Linked DNA regions of Drosophila melanogaster. The main gene of each other region encodes a partner of the protein of the gene in region 2 in a complex. Each region holds a gene or a part of one and is shown on either strand. Other genes may lie near its edges. The genes, in order: Ada1-2, Sgf29 and Spt3.

Region 1 (7,825 bases), on a different chromosome or scaffold from region 2:
TCGGTCTTCGCAAAAGCCCGCCACATTCGTTGGAATTCCGCCTGAAACGTGGCTGTGAGTTTGTCGTCAGCTGTGATAATGCAGTTCTCCCAATTGCCTCCCAGTCCAAGAGCCGTCCAGTTTACGGAGCCGCTGATCACGATGCTATAGCACGGACGCATAAACTTGAGCTTCCTCAGCAGACGAATCTCCTCGACGCGCTCGAAGCCGTCGATTATGCAGAATTTGTTGTGCATCAAGTTCGTGGTAATGGGGACGCGAACTGGAACTCCCAATTGTGCCAGCATACTGATCTGAGAACCTTTGGAGTAGACCATCTCCCCGTCGCTGATGATCCGGATAATCACGCCGCGCTGCAGGGCCCGCTTTATTGAATCCGCCAAAAAAAGCGAGGTGAAGGTGTATATGGCCAGGTCAATGGAGTATACAGCCCGATCGATCTGCTCTACGATCTTGGCCACATTCCGCAGCGAACAATGCGTGTTGCAGCAGGGCGACACTTGTGGTTTCTGGGATCCCATGCTGCTGTTGCGCATATGCACCGCCGCACAGATCTCGCCCAGTTCATTGAAGATGATCACTTCGTGCACGCGGCTTGCCTTCTCTCGCTTGCTGCGCGAGCACTGCACCAGCTTCCAAATCACCTCTGAGGCCAGGACAGTGCTGACGGCAATGCTTATTGTGGACACAATGGGATAGTCTCGAATTTGTTTCATAATTATTTGGGTAATCAACATTTTTGAATTTAGCTCGTTTCTCTAGCGCGCTTTAAATAATAATCTTGGGGTGACCATTATAAAATATAAGTAAAATATATTATCGTTAGTAGCTACCGGTCACACTGTTGCTCAGTAGCGTTGCCGTATCGCAGCCATGCGCTTGCCCATTCGAATCAAACAATCAATTTCGGGTCAATTTAAGCATTTTACCACCTAAATGGATGATCCATCCGCCACGCTCTTGCCCGAACACTCGGAAGATTTGCGGCTGGCTCGCGATGCGGAGCTGAAGAAGGTGCTCAAGCTGAAGCTAGTGCTGGACGAGCTAAGACGCCTGGATGTGGGCCCAAATCCGAGTGATGAAATCAAAAGAGCCCTCAAATTGGTTTCCATTGGAAGTTATGCGCGACTCGGCGAGATGGAGGGAGCTGGTCAGGAGCAGGTGCTTGGTAGGCGCGTTACAAGTTTATTCCAAAAGCAGTGAATAACCATTGGAAATCTAACAGGTCTACCGAGCGGCAGCAGTTTTCCGCCCTTGAATTACACGGATCGCAAGACGGTGCGTACCAAATTGTCCGCTCAATTACGCACAACTCTGCAACCCATTGCCGAATTGTGCGACAGGATACGCGAGGAGTTCCCGGACGCCTTTGGCCAGGAGGCGGACTTAAGCTGCGACCAAAAGGAGATTCTGCGCCTGGAGGAGGAGCATCGCAGCGGTCTGGAGAAATTGGTTGCGCTTCTCACTCGTAAGTGCACGCTTCTCAAGGAGACCGCCGAATTGAAATTGGGGCCGCAGTTGGCAAACGAACTAAAATTGCAACAGGCGCAGGCGCAACTTGTTCAAACAAAAGCAGAACTACTGCGCGGATTTTTCGTCCACGAGGCCGCCTCTCGCACCGAACATAGCGTCAAGGCACATAAGGAGGTGGAGGCGCACCTGGACGAGCTGCTCGCCGCCAAGAAGTAGATTTAAGCAAACTAGTATTATGTAAATTAGATTTTTAAATACATTATAATTGTGATTTAAACAGGGTTGTTCGTTTAGGTCTTTTCGCTCTAGAATGGCAACACTGTTTTGCACTGCAGTATTTGCAGACGGTCACTCTAGGGATAAACAATTTGTAAACAAAAGAAGCTTTTAAGTTTGCCGGAATAAAACAGATATGACCGAAACGAATCCCAGTGAAATATCTCCTCCGAGCGAAGAGCCACCGGCAGAGGACGAATCCACTGACCACTCTCCAGCGGAGGCAGTGCTGAGCAATAATTCCTCGAGTGTCTGCAATGTTGTGGAGCCGGATGATGAGCACGAAGTTAATTCCGTGGATCGGGAGGACACCGCCAGTTTGTTCAGCACTACTACGACCACCACCAGAAGCAAATCGCCAAATACACGAAAATTGAACCGCCTGTGTCGGCGGATCAAGGCACCCAAAATGGTTCAGCCCTTGTACAAATATAGGTGTGATTTTTCCAGGCAGAACATAAGTCATAATGTTTATATCCCGGATGCATTGCAGCTCCCATGTCCGCGAGGACCACAACCATCAGATCTTCGGAGTGCAGTTCAATCCGTTCCTGGACAGAGGCCAGCCGCAGGTGTTCGCCACCGTTGGCAAGGATCGGGTTTCCATTTATGAGTGCGAGAGGAGCACCGGACAGGAGTCCTGCGAAGGCATTCGACTGCTGCAAGTCTACGCAGACCCAGATGTAAGTACTCATCATATGCTATTACTTACATACATCATCGTTACGCCCTCGTTAGACCGATGAAAGTTTCTACACATGCGCTTGGTCCTACGACTCTGTGACCGGCGATCCTGTGCTTGCCGCGGCTGGTTACCGCGGCGTCATTCGCATATTCAATCCGGTTAAGCACCAGTGCAGCAAAAACTACATTGGTCACGGGCACGCCATTAACGAGCTGAAGTTTCATCCGACTAGACCGCAGTTACTTCTGTCCGGCAGCAAGGATCACTCCCTGCGCCTTTGGAACATTCAGTCGGACGTGTGTGTGGCGGTTTTCGGCGGCGTAGAAGGACACCGCGACGAAGTGTTGTCTGTGGACTTTGATTTGCGCGGTGATCGCATCATGTCCAGTGGAATGGATCACTCACTGAAGCTCTGGCGACTGGATAAGCCCGATATAAAAGAGGCCATCGAGCTGAGCTCTGGTTTTAGTCCCAACAAGAATACGGGTCCGTTTCCCACGATCAAGGAGCACTTTCCGGACTTCTCGACAAGGGATATACATCGAAATTATGTGGATTGCGTTCAGTGGTTCGGCGACTTTGTCTTTTCGAAATCCTGCGAGAACTCAATTGTTTGCTGGAAGCCGGGCAAACTTTCAGAATCGTGGCATGAGATTAAGCCACAGGAGTCGGCCACCACGGTGCTGCATCACTTTGACTACAAGATGTGCGAGATCTGGTTCGTACGCTTCGCCTTCAACGCCTGGCAAAAGATTCTGGCCTTGGGCAATCAACTGGGCACAACATTTGTCTGGGAATTGGACTGCAATGATCCCAATTTAACAAAGTGTAGCCAGCTGGTTCATCCCAAAAGCAACTCCACCATCCGACAGACTTCCTTCTCCAAAGACGGTTCCATTTTAGTTTGCGTGTGCGACGACAGCACCGTGTGGCGATGGGATCGCGTCAATTAGGATGAGTGTTTCTAGGCTAAAAGAATTTTCCTTATCCTTCTAAATCCGATACCATATTTATGTAACCATAGTTATTTTCAGTGTAATGTTTACCTTCAATATTAAGTATGTTATTATGCGTAGCATTTATATACAATACTCATTGTATTGACAATTTATGTTAAATTATGTTAAATTTTTTAACATTAACCAAGATATTTATTCTATTCTATTACTTTTTTAATGATCAAATAGCTTCGCAAATATTATCATCTTATGTTGTGTGAATGGCGTGGGCTCTATCTTTAATGTTTATATTTTAACTAACTAACTTGTACACAATAAAAACTGTGAACACTAAAGATTAAAACCAATATTTTTTTAAAGGGTTCTTCAAAAATAACGGTTTTTATCTCAAATGTATCTGGTATTTTCAGCCGTTCTTTGAACGGTCACTCGAATCAGCTGCATTCATTTGTTTATATAGCAATTCGCAAACAGTTGGATTTTCCTGTTTAGTTGTTATTCCCATTACTAAAATGCTTACCGACAGAGTTCTGGCCACCAAGGAGGCGCTAGTGGTGGCTCTGGGCGACAACTGGGAGCGTTACCGGGCCAACATGAAGAATTGGTTTCGGAGCCGTTGGACTAAGGAGGAATTCGATGCGGAGTCGCGGAAAATCCTAACACCTGACAAACTGCACCTGCACAATCAGTTCCTGCTCGCCCTGCTCAACAAGATCGACGCCTTTGCTCCCCTGGAGAATCCTCCGGCCGTCCAGACCAGCAGCAGTAGTGGCAACCGAAGCAAACGGCGCAAAAGAAGTTCCCGCACCTTCGCCGAACGCCTTAATTTTGAGCTCAGCGACGTCCTGGACTTTGTAGCCGAGGACAACATGCAAATCATTCGTCCGCCAACCACGATCGGTATTCCGTCGGACCAGCAACAGCAACAGCTTCAGTCGCAGCGGTACTGCGCGCAGGAACTTTTCCTGCCCGACGCGGGATTCATTATGGGACGATTTCTGATCGGTGCCTGGGAAATCGGACTTGTCTCCGTGGACGACAATGTCGCCGAGTACGTTGCCATGGCCGTGCAAGTTCTGCTCAAGGATCTACTATCGGCAATCATCAAGAAACGAAAGCACTACAAGACCAGCGGCGAGGGAAACTTTTACTACGATGTAGGTGCTCCGTTGCGTGATCCTTCGCTGCGCAACACCGTCACCCGGCAGAAGGTCGACGACACGCCGCTGGAACTGGACAAGGAACTGAATACGGCCAACTTTATGCGGCGACAGAACGACGATGTGACCTTCCTCTCCGCCTGCGAAGAAGTGTAAGCTCCTGAATAATAATGAGATTTTCATGTGAAACACAAACTTAGGTTTTGTTTCTTTCAGCCAACCCACCGAACGCACAGTAATCACCCTCAAGGACTGCCAACTGGCCTTACGGGATCGCAACCTGATAGGCTCGCATGCCGTCTACTCTATAAACATGGAACGACTCAATATGATGATGCATTAGCTTATAAGTTCTAATTATTTTATTATATCAGCTTCTGTAAAAATATATACATTATACGCTAGTGTACCATTAAGTGTTTGGTTCAGCAAAAATTCCGTGGAGGCGGTTTGAATGGCAAGGCACCTGGTAGAAATTGATCCGCCTTGAATGCTTCGATTTCCTGCTCGTTGAGATCCTCCATGCGACTGTAAACTGAGGACTGGATTTCGTTGGTCGGTTGAGCTTGCTGCTGCTGCTGCTGCATCATTTGCTGTTGCTGTTGCATTTGAAATTGTTGTTGCTGCTGCTGCATTTGTTGCTGTTGCATCTGCTGCTGCTGATGCATTTGTTGCTGTTGCATCTGTTGCTGCTGCTGCATCTGTTGCTGCTGCTGCATCTGTTGTTGATTAGGGAATGCAGATGCTGCTGCTTGAGCAAATAATCCGGAGGCAGCTGCCTGCTGCTGCTGTTGTAGTTGCTGAGAAGCCTGAGTAAACATTCCGCCCATATTTTGGCTTGCGGCTTGGCCAAAGATTCCCGTCGACTGTGGTTGCTGCTGCTGCTGTTGGAAACCACCGAAAGGATTAGGATTCACTGGCTGAGCTTGCACCTGAACCTGCGCCTGGGCGAAAATGTTGCCCCCTTGGAAAGCTTGTGCAGCAGGCTGCAGCTGTTGCTGCTGTGGCTGTCCAAAGACACTTTGTGCACCTGTTGCCGCAGCTCCTACACCAAAAATGCTATTCCTTGCATTGGCATTGCTAATCGTTCCGCCGAAAATGCTATTGGTGTTGCTGGCTTGGCTTGTGGCATTCCCAAATATATTTCCCGCACTCAGCGTGGGCTTTCCAAAAATGGATGCAGATGTATTGGCGGCAGCCGGAGCTGCTGCAGCGAAGGGATTACTGGACTGCTGAGGGGCAGCCGACACAGTGCCGCCCTCCGGCGTCTCGTGGATCTTGATCATCATTTCCAGGACCTGCGGCGACATCTGAAGCATGGTCTTCATCTTGTTGTTAGCCTCTAGGACCTCACGGTTAAACTGTTGGCTGAACTGTTCGAATTGGTTTTGTCGTTTGGCCTCGTAACACATGAACCGCACCTCCTCGAAGGATTGGTCCTGAATAAAGTTGGGGAAATTCGCTTTGTCCTTAAAGGGTCCGTAGGCGGACAAAGGCCACATCTTGCCATTGAGGCTGGATTCCATGTCGGCTTTGAGATATTGCCTAAAATAATTAAGTTATTAGTTCATCTGCATAGTTTTAATATCAATGTACTCACTTAACATCGAAATGCTCGTTGTTGCACTTTGCGCCATAGCGGCAGGAGCCTTGTTGAAAGAACCGGCAGACAACCATATTTAAATTTGATTTTAATTTTTGCCTATTTCCTATATTTATTATTTCAAAACTGCTTCAACTTTTGTACTTTTGTTTATAATTGTCTTACTTTGCGTATTGAGTATTCTTTGAGTATTTTATGGCTCACTGAGAAAAATATACCGTGCCTATGCGCGCAATTTCGTGAATTCGTAACTTAAGTTCGCTGAATGATTAAGATAATTTTGTAAGCAAACATATTTAAGATGAAAACTGGTTTTTGAAAATATAGTTCCTTGTAAATTATACATTAAGTGCGAATATATCTGAAAAATATTGGTTTCTTGCACAGATGCTATTCATTTTTCATATGTTCAAAGAAATTCAGAAACTTGCTTCTGCATAATCGAATCAGATAATTTTAAAGTGAATTCCGGAGTCCTTTGGTATATCTCGTGCCGCCGAATACGGTCCCACTGATTGTGAAATCCGTGATAACGAATTTTAACACCAGAATTTCTAGGATTCCATCAGAATGCAAAAAGTGCTGGGACGCATCCAGGCGCAGGTCCTCCGCTCCCGGGCGACGAATGCATTAGCCAATGTGGTTAGACACGAGGCCACCTCCTCCAGGACAGCGGCTAAACCAGCCGCCACATCCAAAGGTAAGCGGATCCTCCAAGATGCACAGTTACCGCTTACCAAAATCGTATTCGTTCGTAGAATTCCGGGAGAGACAGGTGCGATTCAACATAAAGAACGAACAGACCGAGGGTAGACCACTTTACCTGGATGCCCAGGCCACCACTCCAATGGACCCACGTGTATTGGACGCTATGCTCCCCTATCTGACCAATTTCTACGGAAATCTGGTTCGTACGCTTCGCCTTCAACGCCTGGCAAAAGATTCTGGCCTTGGGCAATCAACTGGGCACAACATTTGTCTGGGAATTGGACTGCAATGATCCCAATTTAACAAAGTGTAGCCAGCTGGTTCATCCCAAAAGCAACTCCACCATCCGACAGACTTCCTTCTCCAAAGACGGTTCCATTTTAGTTTGCGTGTGCGACGACAGCACCGTGTGGCGATGGGATCGCGTCAATTAGGATGAGTGTTTCTAGGCTAAAAGAATTTTCCTTATCCTTCTAAATCCGATACCATATTTATGTAACCATAGTTATTTTCAGTGTAATGTTTACCTTCAATATTAAGTATGTTCTTATGCGTAGCATTTATATACAATACTCATTGTATTGACAATTTATGTTAAATTATGTTAAATTTTTTAACATTAACCAAGATATTTATTCTATTCTATTACTTTTTTAATGATCAAATAGCTTCGCAAATATTATCATCTTATGTTGTGTGAATGGCGTGGGCTCTATCTTTAATGTTTATATTTTAACTAACTAACTTGTACACAATAAAAACTGTGAACACTAAAGATTAAAACCAATATTTTTTTAAAGGGTTCTTCAAAAATAACGGTTTTTATCTCAAATGTATCTGGTATTTTCAGCCGTTCTTTGAACGGTCACTCGAATCAGCTGCATTCATTTGTTTATATAGCAATTCGCAAACAGTTGGATTTTCCTGTTTAGTTGTTATTCCCAATACTAAAATGCTTACC
Region 2 (7,877 bases):
TTGGCATATTAATTACTACATTTTATATCATTAAAACGTTTACTCATCACAATAGTAGTGACTAATGGCATGGATTGTAATTGTTCAATATTCTTTGATCAAAAAAGAGTCATTTGCTGAGAGTAAAGAAAATATAAATATTCATATTGGAGTTCGTGTGTCCACTTTATTTGAATCACTCACTCGGGAAATCGAGATGCGTCTTTCGCCATTTGCTGATATGGCTAAATGCGATTCCACGAAACGCGAAATGGAATACACCGGAACATTTTCGACCATCTTCACGATTTTGCACTATATATTTATGCAGCTTACCGTCAGATGTCGGAACGATACAAAAACAAACTGAGACACTCCAATCGATGAAATCAGGTGCGATCAATGATTGCCAAATGTCTGATTTATCTCGCAAATTAGCACATGATTGTGAGGCGGATGGCTTAAAGAAGATCTCAAGTACCTTTACGGATTTGGATTCCATCGCTTGACAAGATCGTTGTGGAAAAATATAGAAATCAATGCACGATCAGTTCAAATTAGCACATTAAATTTGACGAGCGGTCAATTACTGACGATGATGTATTGAAATTGTGTATCTAGATCGCATTTAAGCTACCTCCCCACTTCGAGGATACAAAATGTGGAGTGCACGATAAGGGGAAAGATAAAGAGTGCCTTACTTTCGAGCACTCAAGGTATTATGACTGATTACATGACAGATTACAGTTTAAATAAAAACCTACAGCCGATAGCGCTCCCTTTAAAAGTAAACAAATAACTAAATTAAACTAGTGACGATTGCTAGATGAAAGCGAAATCCGCGCGGGGCTCGGAATAGATTATTATTATTATAAAAATAAATGCGTCTATACTGTAAGTGTGTATATTGCAAGTTCTAGGTCTCTAAGTTTATTTATGTAAACTACGTATACTTTACTTTGGTGTGTGTGGGAAACTCAAGAGTGAATAATACGATGGAGAATAAGTCAACTATTTAAGTGTACAATCTGTTAGCACATTTTGAGGCTACTTATGGGCCACTGCTAAAGTAGTATACTATATAATTATCGGATTCAGTCGTGTCTACAAATTAAAATGAAGCCTGTGTGATGCGGCATATTCAGCGGATCGGGCCAGAACCGGATAGCTCACCTGCTGACTGGATCAAGGGCATATATATCTGCGTGTCCGGATTTTTGGGGGTATATCCTTGGGATTTTCTGGGATCTGGATCTCGAGACGGAATGACAACAAACTACAGCTGAGCAGCTCTCGACAACAGCTGAGCGCACGTGTATCTGTATATGTATCTGTATCCGCGTAGCCGTATCTGTGTGAGTGCGGGTGGCTCAGTGTGTGGGTGCCAACTGAAACGTCGATAAAATATTTTTCTTAATCGCACAAAGAACGTGCGGCACTTGAGTAACTGTCGTGTGAATTAAATATTTCCTGGGCATTCACAAACAACAAAGCCACACAAAAACAAATTGATGACTTTTTGTTTAAGCAATCAACGGCACTGTACGCGTTCTCTTTTTTGTACGCACTTCACTTTTAGAACATTACACAATCAGTTAGAAAAAACTGGCGGCTAGTTGGTGACCCACTATTGCCATTTAACTATTATTTGCTTATTTTATTCCGCGAGCAACGAGCGAAATTCGCAGCTCCTTCATGTGTTATTTCAGCGCTGCCACCGGGCCGAAACTGTTCTGGCGTGTCTGCAGCCCTGGTGGCGTTACCAGACTACTTACCATCCCGAATCTCCTAAATAAACCAAAACGCCTGTTACAGCGCCAAAAGTCGCGACATCTTAATTAAAAACATTAATAAAATTGTTAAAATGTCCAGCAGCAAACTAAGTCCCCGGGAATCTGGAGCCTATATCGTAGAAAATGCCAAGCATGTTCGTATTCTGCCTGCAGGCATTGAGAAACTGACCCAGGAAATCGTAAAAGGCCTAATAGAAAAACGCATTGCTGTGGAAAACTTCTCGCAGCACGAATTACATCCCAATCCAAATCAGCCGGAGGATTATTCCAAAGCAGCCGACTGGGTCTTTGTGTTGGACACCCTGAACTTTTGCTTTTGGACCCCCAGTGAGTAATTGATATTTATAGCAGCATCCACTATCTTCAATGGTAATCTTCCGCAGATAACTACACCAAATATAAGGTCGATGGCTATACCGGCTACTTTGCGCTGTGTGCTGCGATTAAGAGAGCCATCAAGGAAGGCGTGGATGTGATCAATCCCAAGTTCTATTCCCAGATTGATCTGAAAACCGTGGAGAACATTTTCCGCTCTGACGATGGCGAGACAGTGATTCCGCTGCTCCAAAAGCGTCTGGAATCGCTCCATGAAGTGGGAAAAGTTCTGATCGACAAGTACGACGGCAGTTTTGAGAATGTTATCAAGAAGGCGGAGAAATCGGCAGTTCGCTTGCTGGATCTCGTTGTGGAGGAGTTTCCCTGTTTTCGCGATGAGGCTGAGTTTGCTGGAAAGCGAGTTTCCATCCTAAAACGAGCGCAAATCCTAGTGGGCGATGTGTGGTCCTGCTACAGAGGTCAGGGACTTGGGTTCTTTAATGACATCGATCAGATAACCATGTTCGCTGACTACCGAATTCCCCAGGTGCTAGTGCACTTCGGCAGTTTGGAGTACACCAGTGAGCTAATGGAGTTCCTAAAGACGGATACTATTCTGGAGAACGGCGATCCCCGAGAGGTGGAGATACGCGGCGCATCTATATACATCATCGAACAAGTTAGGGATGCTGTGGTGAAGATACTCAAGGAGCAGCACCCCGAAATCTCACTGGACAACGTCAACTCCATTGTGATCGACCAATATCTGTGGGACTACCGGCGTCGGCACAATGCCGACCTGGAGCACATTCCCTTCCACAAGGTGCTGAGCATCTACTACTAACGACGGCAACACAAATAAAGACGGTTCTTTGTTAAACTGAATTGTCCTTTAATTATCCACACGCGGGGCAATCATCTACAGAGTAACAGGCTTTGGCTTGCCCTTCTGGGAAGCGATGCGCTCGTTGTAGCGCTTCACGGACTCCTCGCGGGAAAGGTTTCCCTTGCGTGCGTAGCGCTGGTTGATCAGAAATTTCACATCCATCTAAAGACGGGAAGGTTGTTAAAATCAACTCTAGATGCTAACTAAATATGCATATTTTTGAATACTTACACCCAGAGTGGACTCGTGGCGTTTGCGCAGCGGGCGCTTGATGCCATTACGATGGGCCTTCTTGTTCTGGTTGTGATTTGTGTGGTTCTTGGACTTGGCCATCTTAAACTACTCCGGGTATCCAAAGATTCGTTGATGGGGCGGCACATGAAAACAGAAAAAATGTTCGCCATTATAATTTTAGCTTGGGGTTAACACTTGGAGTTCACTTTTAGCCAACGCCAGTTGAACAAAAAGCCAACAACTGTTGAAATTTTCGTTGCATTTCTCGTGTATTAGGCACCTACGTTTTTCGCACACTGGAATTCCTAGCTGCAATTGAAGATATTATAAATAAAAATAGCCAATTGGAAAAACGCGGAGCACACTTACGGAAACGCGATGGAAAAGAAGGGAAAGCCAGAGAGGCTGTCATAGAGCGCAGAAAAGGGACTAAATAACGCCAACCACGTGAAGATATCGTGCTGTTATCTGCGTGCTGTTAGGCGCACTTGCTTCCATCTCCAATGTAAGAAACGTAAACAACTTTGAAAAGTAAATATTCGAGTTTGAGAAAAAGATCCACTAAAGTCAAATAATGAGATTATACGGTACAAAAATCTTAACAATAATTACTCTGTTTTACTCTGTAAAATAAAATTTGCTAAGATTAAAAAAATACTGAGGTAAAATATAAAACTATCGCATAGTTAATACTAACGCGTTGTCGACTTTACGCTTATGCTTGTTTTTGTTTTCATTGCGTAGGTAAACAAAGTGTTCAAAAAACAAATTTATTATATTGTTATAATATCGAAACAACATGCCACTGACTGCGGAGAGTGCCGCCCAACAGATTCAGGTAAAGATGTTAACAATAAATGTCGATATATACTATATTTATATGGCATTTACAGGATCGCCTGAAGGACATTCAACAAAACATTCACAATGTGGACGAGGAGCGTCGTCGTGCGGAAAACTCCATTGCTAGTCTGGTGCGATCTCTGCACGCCACCAATCAGAAGGTTAAGCCCCTGCTCAAGGCCAGTTTAACGGAGGCTGCGCAGGAGGAGGCCACAATCCGAGCCGCACTGGCGAAAATCCACGAGATTCGAAGCATTCGCAATGAGAGGCGCATCCAAGGTGGGTTAGTGATGGGATGTATAAACAGGATTTAATCTCGCATATTCCACAGCTCGCAACGCTGGAAATAAGGAGGCCATTCGACGGGGCGCCCTTATGAAAATGGTGCAGCTCTCAGCGCAAACGTTGCCGTTATTCGTTGGCAAACTAGGAGAACGAGCACCAGCTCTATGTGGAGCCATTCCCGCCGAGGGGAACTATGTGGCCAAGGTAAGCATTCATTTTGATTGGACAAAGAAGCTGGGATGATGATCTGACTAATCGGACGCCACTGTATAGGTTGGCGACAATGTTGCCGCATTAGCTAAGGGAATTGATGAGGAGGAGAACTGGATCCTGGCGGAAGTGGTGCAGTTCCTTCACCGTCAAAACAAATACGACGTAATTGACATTGACGAGGAGCAAAAGGATCGCCATGTGCTGAGCAAGCGAAAGGTCATCCCACTGCCTCTAATGCGTGCAAATCCTGAGACCGATGGTCACGCCCTCTTCCCCAAGGACACAGTGGTAATGGCGCTATATCCACAGACCACCTGTTTCTACAAGGCCATTGTCCATCGCCTGCCGCAAACCGCCACCGAGGATTACGAGGTGCTATTCGAGGATTCATCGTACACGAATGGCTATGCCGAACCCTTGCCGGTCGCACAGCGCTATGTGATTGCATATCGTCCAACGAAAAAGGGGGCTGGCAGTGGCAGCGGGAATCTATCATCAGCATAAAAAATGTATTATCTTAACTTTAAGAATTAAATGTAATTGTAATAATAGCTCCAATTAAAATTGTATTCAATTCACAATAGACTGGTTTCTGTCTGGAATAAGAAGAAAGTAATTTCAGGGTGGTATTTTAATACCGGATTTTTTGGAGAACGGTTACATTGATTTCCTAAAAAAAATAAATAGACTTTAAAGTTTGTAGGAAAACAAAGGGGAAAGGCAGGCTTATAAGATGAGTAAAACGAGCTTAGCGACGCAGACCAATGGCACGGCGGAAAATGGAAACTGTTTTGATATCCTCAAAGTGTCTAATTTGTTCGAAACCAGCCTTCTGGACGAGGATGACGTACAATTAGACGCATACTTGGCAGCCTACGAGGAAATAATGAAGTAAACTGAGTGATTATGATGTTTATGTTTTTTAGTGGTGCTCTATTGGGCTTTCGGTGTTCATTAGGTTCTTCCAGCTCATGGGCAGTGTCTTCAGTTTTGTCAGCAGCGATGTGCGCAGTAAAATAGATATCTTATACGCCCTGAGAGCCAAGGACGCGGAGGAGCAGGAACACTTTAATACCTTCAGAACCATGCTGGATTACGAGAAGGAGGCCCAGTTGCTTACTCAGAAGGGTTACGTGTCTGGCAGTCGAACGCTGCTACGTCTTCATCGCGGTCTTGGTGAGCGTTATGCGCATATAACTGCCACAGTGGCTAATTGATTGGTTTCTTCTTATCTAGACTTTGTCTACGAGTTTCTCAATCGGATCCAGGCGATACCCGACGACCAAAAGACTGTGGACGTGTGCAAGGAGGCCTACGATGACACCCTGGGCAAGCATCACTCATTCCTCATCCGCAAAGGAGCGCGCCTGGCTATGTACGCGATGCCCACTAGGGGAGATCTTCTCAAGAAAGTGTGCTCCGATGTCGAGGCGGCCAAAGAGAACCTGCCTTCCATGCTGAAGCATATGAGAACCAACTACGATCGCACAGAAGACCTCTACACGCTATACGATCTACACAGCCTGCCTTAGAATCCATACATACATAATCCATATCTATACATCTGGGGCATTCAAAAGATCTGATAGAGTGATAAATACCAAAGTTTCCCTACTTTACCCTAGCCAGAAAAGATGCCTATAATATGATATTATACCATACTTTTATAATATGCTTTTGTACTGTATCTAACTCTCTATCAGATCTGGTGTCTACCCCGGCGTAGATTATGTAGCTAAAATTTTCTGTATTGATTGTGTAACTGCAAGTATTCGTTTCCTAAGACGTAAGTTTTAATTTTGCATTTTGAATTGCCTGCAATCGCTCATCTATCGCCTTGTCCACAGGCTGTGCAATATTTCCAAAATCCCCCGTATTTTAACGCCATTAAAGCTTTAGTCATGAATGAAAACTTGTCTTATCTCTGGGTGTATTGAACTTGGTCAACCTGGACAAACATAGTTTCTCGTGCCAGTTCCAAATATAACAGCATAATAAGCGATCCCGATTAGATAAGCTGCTGGGGGAATGCTACCTCATAAAAAACCCACTTCGGATACAAATGGCTTGGCGTATCTGCTTGTGATTATGGTCCAAGACAAAGACCGCTAAAACTCCCCTATATCTCCAGAATCCAGTCAAGATATATGGCCATTTGGGCTTAGCGAGCTAACTTTTGGAGCGCAAATTGCAGTAATGGCCGCCGTTTCAATTGCAGTCTAATTGCGCTATCGATTACGCCTTAGTCACTATCACTACGTATCACTATCAAAAGCGGTGAACTCTCAAAAAACGTGTTGAGTTGGCCACTTTATCGCCGTTTGGACAGGCGTTGTGCCAAGTGCAAACCGTAGAAGATGGTGGTTCTCCGGACAAATAATCCACAGACGTCACTGCTCCGTCTGTGAGTGCTGAAGTCGTTAAAAGCGCCTTCGACCGTCCGTTTTGGGGCATATTCAATCCGTCTGGCGCCGCGAGCATATGGAGCCATGGATGCTTCTAAGCAGTCGAGTCCGAAAAGAGAGAGTAATCCGTTTATCAAGGCCAATATAATCTCTAAGTGGCTGTTCCTGTGAGTCGTCAATATTTTTTTTTTATTGGTGAAAAGTGAAAATCTCTGCGGAAACGATGGTCATGGTCAATCAGTGAATAGTTTACAACTCGCGATAAGGATAGTGCTAATTGTTGCTAATAAGTGCTGATAAACAACATCTCCGAAAAGTTTAAGCAAAAAAGTTAAGATACTTGTAATGCCCAGAAGTCAGCTTTGGAATATCTTTTTCAAAACTCATTAAGTGATAATGGTTATTTTTAACCCATAGTTTCCACATGAGATTTCGGTCATAAATCGGAATTTCGCGATATTGATTGACCATTGACTGTTGGGCAGTCACGTAGTAATGCCCTGGATCAGACATGCCATTTGCAAGTCGCCTACCTTGGAGATACTTTGATAAGATATTGAACGACTTATCATTTTTCCTCCTTCAGATGGATGCACAGTGTTTTTCGGAAGGGCAGGCGGGAGGAGTTGGACGCGAGTAAGCTGTACGAACACCTGCCCAGTTTCGATAGTGAGTCCTTGACCAGAAACCTACAGCCCCACTGGGAGAAGGAGTCCAAGAAGAAAAATCCGAGTCTTATGCGGCTGATCTTTAAGGTCTACGGATGGCAGTTTGTTCCCGTTTGCATTTTATATTCTCTGTTGGAAATGGCTATTCAGTGAGTACAGAATCTAAATATACTTCCGGAAATCACAGCAATCTCACTTTTCACTTCCGCTTTAATTGCAGTTCCTTCCAGCCTTTGCTGCTCGGAGGATTGATCTC
Region 3 (7,877 bases), on a different chromosome or scaffold from region 2:
TAATTGAGAATCTATAACAAAATGCGTGCTTTAATTCTTTCTTAATTAATAATTGTTAATAACATCAATTAATTAAATACATATAAAATTAGATAAAATAATTTGCATAAATTTCACTTTAGGCTGAATTAAATTGCTGAATTCCAGACAAGGTGCTTACATCTTCATCATACTGCTGAACTTGCGACTTTCAATGAGAACACTCAATTCATATACGCATAACTTGTTTTCATCACACATCCATGCGTTCCTAACTCAAGATGTAAATAGCTGCGTTTAGGAAGTTAAAATCGTTGTTGAGTAAGTAGGTCAAGTATTTTGATCACATAATATATAATTGCTCCTGCCACTTAACTAATTAAATAAAGACAGTTTTCTTTGTGCGCTCACCTCGACCCGCCTGTCACCCACCTGCCTCCCACCTGGGCACCCAAACGCACTCGGTGGCACTGCCAATCGCACTCGGGGATGGAGTGGCATGACCATGGATGCTGTGCCACCAATGACAATGAGATGAGAATGCCCTTGGGCTCCGTTCATAGGACGGATAGGTGGATGGACGGAGCAATGGCGATGGCGTTGGCGGGATCTTTCCGTTGGAGGCGTTTAATCTCATTCATTTTGAATAAGACCGGCTCCAGCGTATTTAGCCTGAGTACTTGTGTCAACACATTCCAAGACGGTTTCAAATTAAAAGGCCGTGTAATATGCTCCTCCGAGGGACTGTTTTTGTTTTGGTTTCCTTTTATTTTTTTGCTAGCTTCTAATGGTTTATGCCTAGACAACTGTCAATGGTCTCGGGGGCTGGGCATCGGGGGAAATTGCCTCCGGCTGACGTCAGCAACTTTTCGAGAAAGCGAAAGTAATTAAAAAAGTTTAGCCGAACGGATTTTCAAAAATATCCAATTGCTAAGCCAGACATGCAATTGATGTTTCTCAACTGCACACTCTTTGTGGCAAGTTAGAGAAATTAAAAGCTTTACTTAATTAGCCGCTCAGCAAACATGTTCTTAAACATAAGTCAATTTTGAATAAAAATTTTCAATATTCATGCTATGATTTTCTGTTTACATAGTGTAATTCTATTTAACTATCATTGTTAGAAAAGTTTAGAAAACAGTATCTTTCAAAACAGTATCTTTCGAAGGATAATTAATTCTGTATTCTAAATTATTCAAGAAATTAAGGTATAGAGGCATATTTACATACATACGTATAATATGAGGGCCTTCCCTTTAAGAGAAGTTTAAGGCAACTCGGCTACAAGGGATTGGGGCATATTGACTTTACGCGGCCTGGAAATTGGCTACGTGACTTGACAATACGAAGAAATGACGACGCGACGACGAGCTCCACGGACCTGATGATGATGGTCCTGTTGGGGACGAAGCGAAGAGCCGCATGAAATGCAAATTTGGAAACATTAACAGTGAGTGTGGAGAAGTGTGGGGAGCAGTGCGCGGGGTCAAGGAAAAAAATCACAAGGACGATGCTGGAATGGAAACAAGTTGTTGGCTTAATTTCGTCACAGCCAGCTTGTTTTCATTAACTGGCCATCGAGGAGCTATCGACTGCGTTCCGGCGCTCGTTAGGCGTATGAGCAATCGATTAAGAATAATGGGCCGTTGGAATTACATCTGCAGCACAGAGCAATCAACATTAAGATCCGATTAAACTAGGATATCCCACCGAAGAAAATAACAAGAGGATACCTTTAAAGGTGCATCGATTTTAAGTCAAATTTCGGACCGCATGTTATCAGATAAACAAGCGGGTGATAGGAATAAGAAAAATTTCAAATAAATGGTTTTTAAAAGTTATTTTAAAAAGGTTTTTGGAAAAGATTTGGATTTTGCCTTTGCTATACAATCATGACCACAATTGCACATATGTACATATATTAAAAGTTCAAGTGACATTGAGCAATAATTCTTAATCCTTTTCAATTCACGGCAAAAGACAGAATGAAACCCGCCACCCATAACTGCGGAATGAATTTTAACCCCTTTACCCTTCGTTGCTATGCGTGTCACACACATTTATATGCACAACAGGAAGTTGATTATTAAGTGCGTTCGCGAGTTGCTTCTCTTAATGCCTTATGCTGCAGTCTCTCCTGCAATCCTGCGGCATCCTTGCTGGTCCTTCTCCTTCGCTCCGTCTGTGTGGCACACGTGCGAGTGCGCCTGTCGGCAAATTTCTTTATTGCGCTTTTATTTATCTGTCGGTGCCAGTTTCAACTTCGTTTACCGCTTCAATTTATCGGCTCCATGCGAGGCAGATTCACCCGTCCGTAATTGGAGTGCGTTTTTCTGTCTTTTAGTCGCAGCCTCAAAGGCCAGGATATGTGCCACAGGCAAATTGAATTAATGAATATGCCTAGTTGTTCTTGACCTCTCAGGAAAAAACTTTTTTAACGAGCCAAAATTGCTTTATTTTATAATTTGTATAATTAAAATGTAGAGCGCGTTAATTGTTGGGGATTGAATTACTTTAAATGAATTAATTGTACAGTCTATTTTTTGTGAATAAAATCAATAATTGACGCAAATAAAAATAGGCGAGGATATTAAGATCATTAAAACTTAAATGGCTAGAAAACTGCGCCGGAAATCGATGTCGCAAGAGTTGCGATACCGCCCAATCTTACGGCTGCTCATTTGCCGGAAACGGCGCATGGCCTCGTGGATCTCCGGTACACTGATTGGCTTGACCACCTCCATGCCGCGACCCTGTGTGACCTCCGGACAGACGTGCATCATAGCCGGACTGCCTCCGGCGGAGGTCACTCGGCTGTAGGGCTCGGTCGCACGGTTGTCCGAGTTCAGGCGCGTCAGGATCGAATAGTCGACAATGGCGGCAATGGTCTCATGCGCCAGATAGGCCAAAATGTTCATTGTCGGCGTTGGGATGCGAAGGTCCGCGGGCAGGTCCAGAAAGCGGCGGAACTTGTTCTTGATCTTCTCCCCATGGCGGCAGTAGAATGACGTCTTGCGCGCCTCATTGAACTCCAGGTATTGCTGGCCCGTAAGGATCTGCGATATCCGATCTGCGCGGAATAATCTTCGCATTCGGTCCTCGTCGTGTAGCTCGTACACATCGATGGCCAGCTCCTCGTCCTCCTCCTGCTGCTCCAAGTCGTCCATGAAGTCCTGCGGCCTTCCCGTGCGGATACTAAGGAACCTTTTGAGTATGCGCATATCCTTGAGGTGCTTTCGCATCCGAGCTATCTTCACCGGATGGTTGCGCATCAGGAACTCAAAGTCCGCCTGCGACGGGCAGGGATTCTGTTTCCGCCGCATGGCCACCAGCGAAGCCTCATTGAAGATGCCGCGCAGCTGCTGCTGCAGGATCTGCTCCACCAGCTTGACACTTCCCGTCCTGGGCTGATCGCTGTCGCCGAAGCTTCGCATGATATCCGCAATCTCTGTGAGCAGTGAGACAGGTGCATCATCCGGAATGAGAACGTTGGCAACGTTGCTCCCGCTGGCACCACCGGCTACATTATGTCCAGCTAGGTTGATCTGCTGTGGCGAGGGATTCGTCGGTATGCTTCCACTTTGCAGCAGAATCACTTGGCGCTGCACAAGCAGTGGCTTGATGTCCTCGGTGGTCTGCAGTTGCGGCGTGCTGGGCGCCGAGGGCGGGGCAGGTCCAATCATTATCGGCGACGCTGCCATGTCGTTGGAACCCACGCAAACCGAGTTCTGTCGCATTACTCGCTTGGCGTTGTAGTTCATTTTATTTACAAACAAAGTCACCACTTCAATCGCAACAGCTGATTTCGTGAGAATAGATAAAACCCTTTGTGAAAGCGATGGCCTATCGTTAGGGATGAACGATAGTGTAACGCATTTGTGCGACATCCGACTTTATATAAATACTGTATATTATATATATATTATTATATATATATATATATTCAGGTAACCAGAGCGGCCGAGTATTGTGCCAAATAGAAAAATGTCAACACTTGTATTTTTATTTCCCTTAATTTGTATCTCTGCATTAAATGCAAAACAATCGGTTCAGCAAACTTCAGTTCCGAACCAGTAGTTCCACTGTAGTCTACGCACCACCATTTTTGTTTGCGGATGATAACCCGTAAAGCAAAAGACAACAAATCGGATTAAACAATTACCTTAAGATGTTCAACGGGATGGTGAGAACCATCCGCGACAGCGTCGTGGGCACCTATCCGTCCTGCCACGTATCCTCGCGGCTGGAGGAGCGCAGGGCCAAGCAGCGGGCGATGCGACAGGAGCGTAGACGAAAACCGGACAAACCAGACGACTTTGTTACTTACGAGGATTCCGGCAGCGACGAGGAGACGCCCCAACAGCAGGAGGAGGTCCTGAACACATCCTACAACCTGTGCGACTACCTGCGCAGCCGGGAGAGTGGACTCCGAGATGTGGGTATATGTTGTGAAGTCGCACCACTTGCATTGCTAACGTGAACTTTGTCCCACCATCCTCTGCAGCGTCGCAGTGTCAATGTGGAGTACACCAGCCGCTATGTGCTAACCCACGACATGCTGCGCGAGACGCAGATTAGTCTGGGCTACATCAACAAGGTCTTCTGCTCCAAGTGGCTGAGCAGTCGACAAGTGGTTTTCGGGACCAAGTGCAATAAACTGCTCGTCTACGATGTGAACATGCGCCGGGTGGACGCCATCCCAACGCTCTCAAATAGCCGGGCAAACCATCCTGAGGTCCAGGGTGGCCTGCATGCCATCGAGCTGTCGCCCAGCCGATCCTTCCTAGCCACCGGTGCGCGCAACTCCTCCGATATTGCTGTTTACCGACTGCCTACGCTGGATCCCGTCTGTGTGGGCGAGGGTGGGCACCGCGACCTTATAATGGGCATGTGCTGGCTGGATGACCAGTTTCTTGTGTCCGGATCGAAGGACTCGCGCATGGCTCTGTGGCGCATCAACGAGGATCACATGGAGTTTCCAGATGGCGGCGAGGAAGCGTGTCCCACATTCGCAACCATCCACCCCCTTAGTGTCAAGGAAGTTCGCACTGCCCAGAGGGTGAGCTTATGAATGCAAATCAAATCAAAGAACCATTTTATCAATAAGATCTTTTACAGATTCGATCTCTTTGCTTCAACAAGGAGTTTAAGGAGATCGCCGCCCTCTCGCTGAACGGATACATTCACATCTTCAATGCGGAGACCTTCAAGCAGACACTCTCACGAAAGCTGCCAAACTGCCAGGACAACGTGAGCATCGCCTACCACAGCGACGGCCTTTATGCCGTTGGATGCCGTTCCTATACCATCCTTTTGGACGCCCGAACCCTTCAAACCATTAAGAAGATCACATCTCGATACAGTGGCTGCGGTATACGGGCGACTTCGTTCGAAGGTAACCTGCTCACCGTTGGCACGGGTCTGGGCATGCTCCTATTCTACGACATTCGAGCCGGAAAGTATTTGGAGAGCAGTGTGAATGCCTCGCGCACAGTCGCACTCAAGTGCAGCAAAGGAATTGTGGTAAGTGAAGAGGTTACAGTTCCACAAAATACACCAATTCACCTAACTGTTTTGTACATTTCAGTATCCGGAGGATGAGATGGATGGCTTCCAGCAGGTGAAGTATGTGCCCGCCATCTACACCCACTGCTATGACAGCACTAGGATGCGCCTCTTCGCTGCAGGAGGACCACTGCCGGCGACTTTGGTGGGCAACTATGCGGGCGTTTGGCAATAGATTGGCATAGGATCCGATCCGGGCTCACAATACTGATTAGTATTTAAGTAGTTATTCGACTTGTGATCTTTAATCTTTTGGCGCATTTCGATTCAAATCGTTCACCTGCATATGTATTCCGCCAAGACAGAATTTTTATTTAACTTGATTACTCACTTTTGGTTTTAATGAAATTTATGTAAGATTTATGTTAATGATATTTTATATTGTGTGTAAACAATATACACCGTTTAAAAGTGTAAATGTAAGCATAAATACCGATCCTATTTATATATAGTACATACAATACAAATAATGGAATACTAATTTATAGACAATGCATCTGATTTATAGTCTGATCTATATGGTAATAGAATTTCAAATTAAACAAACCATTGAAAAACATTGTTTTTAAATATATGCAAAGGCTTTCTTCAATCTACAACGCGCATATTGCCGGTGGTGCTGTATAGGGCACTCAACACAACGGGTGTGGACAAATTACAAGAGTGTACAAAGTACGATGTGCCAAACAGCAACGAGCAATTTTAAAATACATTATATATAAAAGGGAAATTGTACAAGATTTACAGAATGAATGCTATGCAACTGCCCAACGACTGACGACTATCCGCATCCAACAAGACGAATATTTATATATTATATATCCTATGATGTTCGCTAGTTGTTATTATTGGGACTGCCTCCTCCACTCCACGCAGTGAGGAATCCCGTCCAGCTGCGACTGCTACCATCTGCAGAAACTAAAAGCAATATCTTAATACAAGAAACCATACTAAAATTTAAATTTTTCTGCTAGTAGTTACCTTTCTGTCCCTTGGCCACACAGTTCAGCATTTCCATTTCGTTGCGACTCAGGCGGAGAATGGTATTTAGCACGGGAACCAAGCGCTGCCGCTCATCGACATTGTTTAACGTAAGGAACTGCAAGTTTATAAAGTAAATAGATTAAGCCCGTGGATATAGTTATTGCGTTCCTGATCTCACCTTTAAGAAGACGTTCTTCAAGTACTCGGAGTTGTGCATGTGTTGTTCACGTTCCTCGGAGCGCTCTTGGCGGCGCAATTCTTCCTTGAGCATGTCGTTCATTTGGGTCAGTTTAGCCAAATCCTGTTCGTTTTCGGCCAACAGGGCAGTCAAGTGCTTGACACGACTTTCCTGGATGCTTAGGCGTTCTTTTGTGGCCTGAAGCTGGGCACTTTGGACGGAAAAGTCTCCCCGTGCGGCCATTTCCGCTTCCTCGTCCTCCTGCTGCGAAACGCTGCGTCCGAAATTAGAGATGGTAGTCACGGTATCGCTGGTTATTTGGTTCATTGATGTGTTGAGCAGCTCGTCAAGCGGCATGAAGTCGTGGGAACGTCTCGAGGCAGTAGATATCTTTCGCTGAGCAGCCAGTTGGGCCAGAGAGACGTCTCCAGCGTGGCCATCCAAGCCTGTTTCGTGGTCCATAAGCAAGTAATCGATCTTTGCCTGCTCTGGACTGGTGTCCACGCTCGCGGCGGATGCAGTGGTATGCTGAGAGACGTTTGCTTGCATCTTTTGCGCTTCCTCCAGTTGCTCCTGCACCTGCGTTAATTGCAACTGGTGCCCGGCGTCCAGCTCATCAACTTGCTGGCGATGCTGCTGCATCAGGTCGTGTTGGAATTGCAACTGGCGTTGGTTTTCTAGCGACAGCAGGTCGTTTTGCTGACGCAGTTCGTCAACTAGAGAGACGAGCTCTTTGCTACGCTTTTGCAGATCAGTGTTATCCTGTCGCAATTCCTCTATTTGACTATCCAACTGGGCCAGGCGGGCAGCTCTTCCATCGTTGCTGGCGCGCAGATTGCGTTCACTCTCTCGAAGCGCAACCAACTCTTCTTCCAACTCCTGTTCGCGGTTGGAGCCCTTATTTTGGTTTTTGCGCAGCACAGACTGTGCCTTCAACTTGTATTCGGTGTACTCTACTCGCAGGTCCTCCAGAGCTCGTTCCGCATTTCGAAGCGCCGTCTCCAATCGCTTTTGCTCTGCCAGGTGCATTTCCAGCTCCTGGGTTTGGCTTAGTAGTTGTTGGGTGGCCGTGTTTAGCTTCGATTCGTATTGTTGGGCGCTCTCCGACAGCTGGAGACGCAATTGCTCCGCCTCGAGCTTGGCCTGTTCAACGCCATGTTCCAAATCCTTG

What was found.
Region 1: Sgf29 (region 2) and Ada1-2 share a complex: the UniProt entries of both Drosophila melanogaster proteins name them as parts of the spt-Ada-Gcn5 acetyltransferase (SAGA) complex.
Region 3: Sgf29 (region 2) and Spt3 share a complex: the UniProt entries of both Drosophila melanogaster proteins name them as parts of the spt-Ada-Gcn5 acetyltransferase (SAGA) complex.

The regions. Positions count from the first base shown.
Region 1 is NT_033779.5:11,989,088-11,996,912, forward strand, and holds Ada1-2 (transcriptional adaptor 1-2), read left to right. Parts: upstream 1-3,814; 5' UTR 3,815-3,905; coding exon 3,906-4,705; intron 4,706-4,769; coding exon 4,770-4,896; 3' UTR 4,897-4,967; downstream 4,968-7,825. Other genes in the region: zuc (zucchini), read right to left, coding at 1-737; dgt2 (dim gamma-tubulin 2), read left to right, coding at 937-1,168, 1,226-1,689; escl, read left to right, coding at 1,886-2,184, 2,243-2,432, 2,488-3,387; CG18789 (uncharacterized protein), read right to left, coding at 4,979-6,098, 6,154-6,230; Qtzl (quetzalcoatl), read left to right, coding at 6,727-6,856, 6,915-7,156; Ada1-1 (transcriptional adaptor 1-1), read left to right, coding at 7,817-7,825. UniProt on the Drosophila melanogaster protein: Component of the transcription regulatory complex SAGA, a multiprotein complex that activates transcription by remodeling chromatin and mediating histone acetylation and deubiquitination. The SAGA complex predominantly acetylates histone H3.
Region 2 is NT_033778.4:21,289,489-21,297,365, reverse strand, and holds Sgf29 (SAGA-associated factor 29kDa), read left to right. Parts: upstream 1-3,719; 5' UTR 3,720-3,869; intron 3,870-3,924; exon of another isoform or gene 3,925-3,951; 5' UTR 3,952-4,006; coding exon 4,007-4,045; intron 4,046-4,100; coding exon 4,101-4,329; intron 4,330-4,381; coding exon 4,382-4,539; intron 4,540-4,608; coding exon 4,609-5,052; 3' UTR 5,053-5,127; downstream 5,128-7,877. Other genes in the region: CG9752 (uncharacterized protein), read left to right, coding at 1,844-2,099, 2,156-2,931; RpL29 (ribosomal protein L29), read right to left, coding at 3,007-3,135, 3,205-3,306; CG30392 (uncharacterized protein), read left to right, coding at 5,282-5,439, 5,507-5,724, 5,785-6,080; CG10505 (uncharacterized protein), read left to right, coding at 7,038-7,120, 7,540-7,770, 7,842-7,877. UniProt on the Drosophila melanogaster protein: Component of both the SAGA and CHAT histone acetyltransferase complexes, which both predominantly acetylate histone H3.
Region 3 is NT_033777.3:12,013,089-12,020,965, reverse strand, and holds Spt3 (Spt3), read right to left. Parts: upstream 3,811-7,877; 5' UTR 3,741-3,810; coding exon 2,586-3,740; 3' UTR 2,416-2,585; downstream 1-2,415. Other genes in the region: DCAF12 (DDB1 and CUL4 associated factor 12), read left to right, coding at 4,148-4,414, 4,484-5,038, 5,098-5,502, 5,567-5,719; GCC185 (GRIP and coiled-coil domain containing 185 kDa), read right to left, coding at 6,380-6,462, 6,526-6,643, 6,707-7,877. UniProt on the Drosophila melanogaster protein: Component of the transcription regulatory complex SAGA, a multiprotein complex that activates transcription by remodeling chromatin and mediating histone acetylation and deubiquitination. The SAGA complex predominantly acetylates histone H3.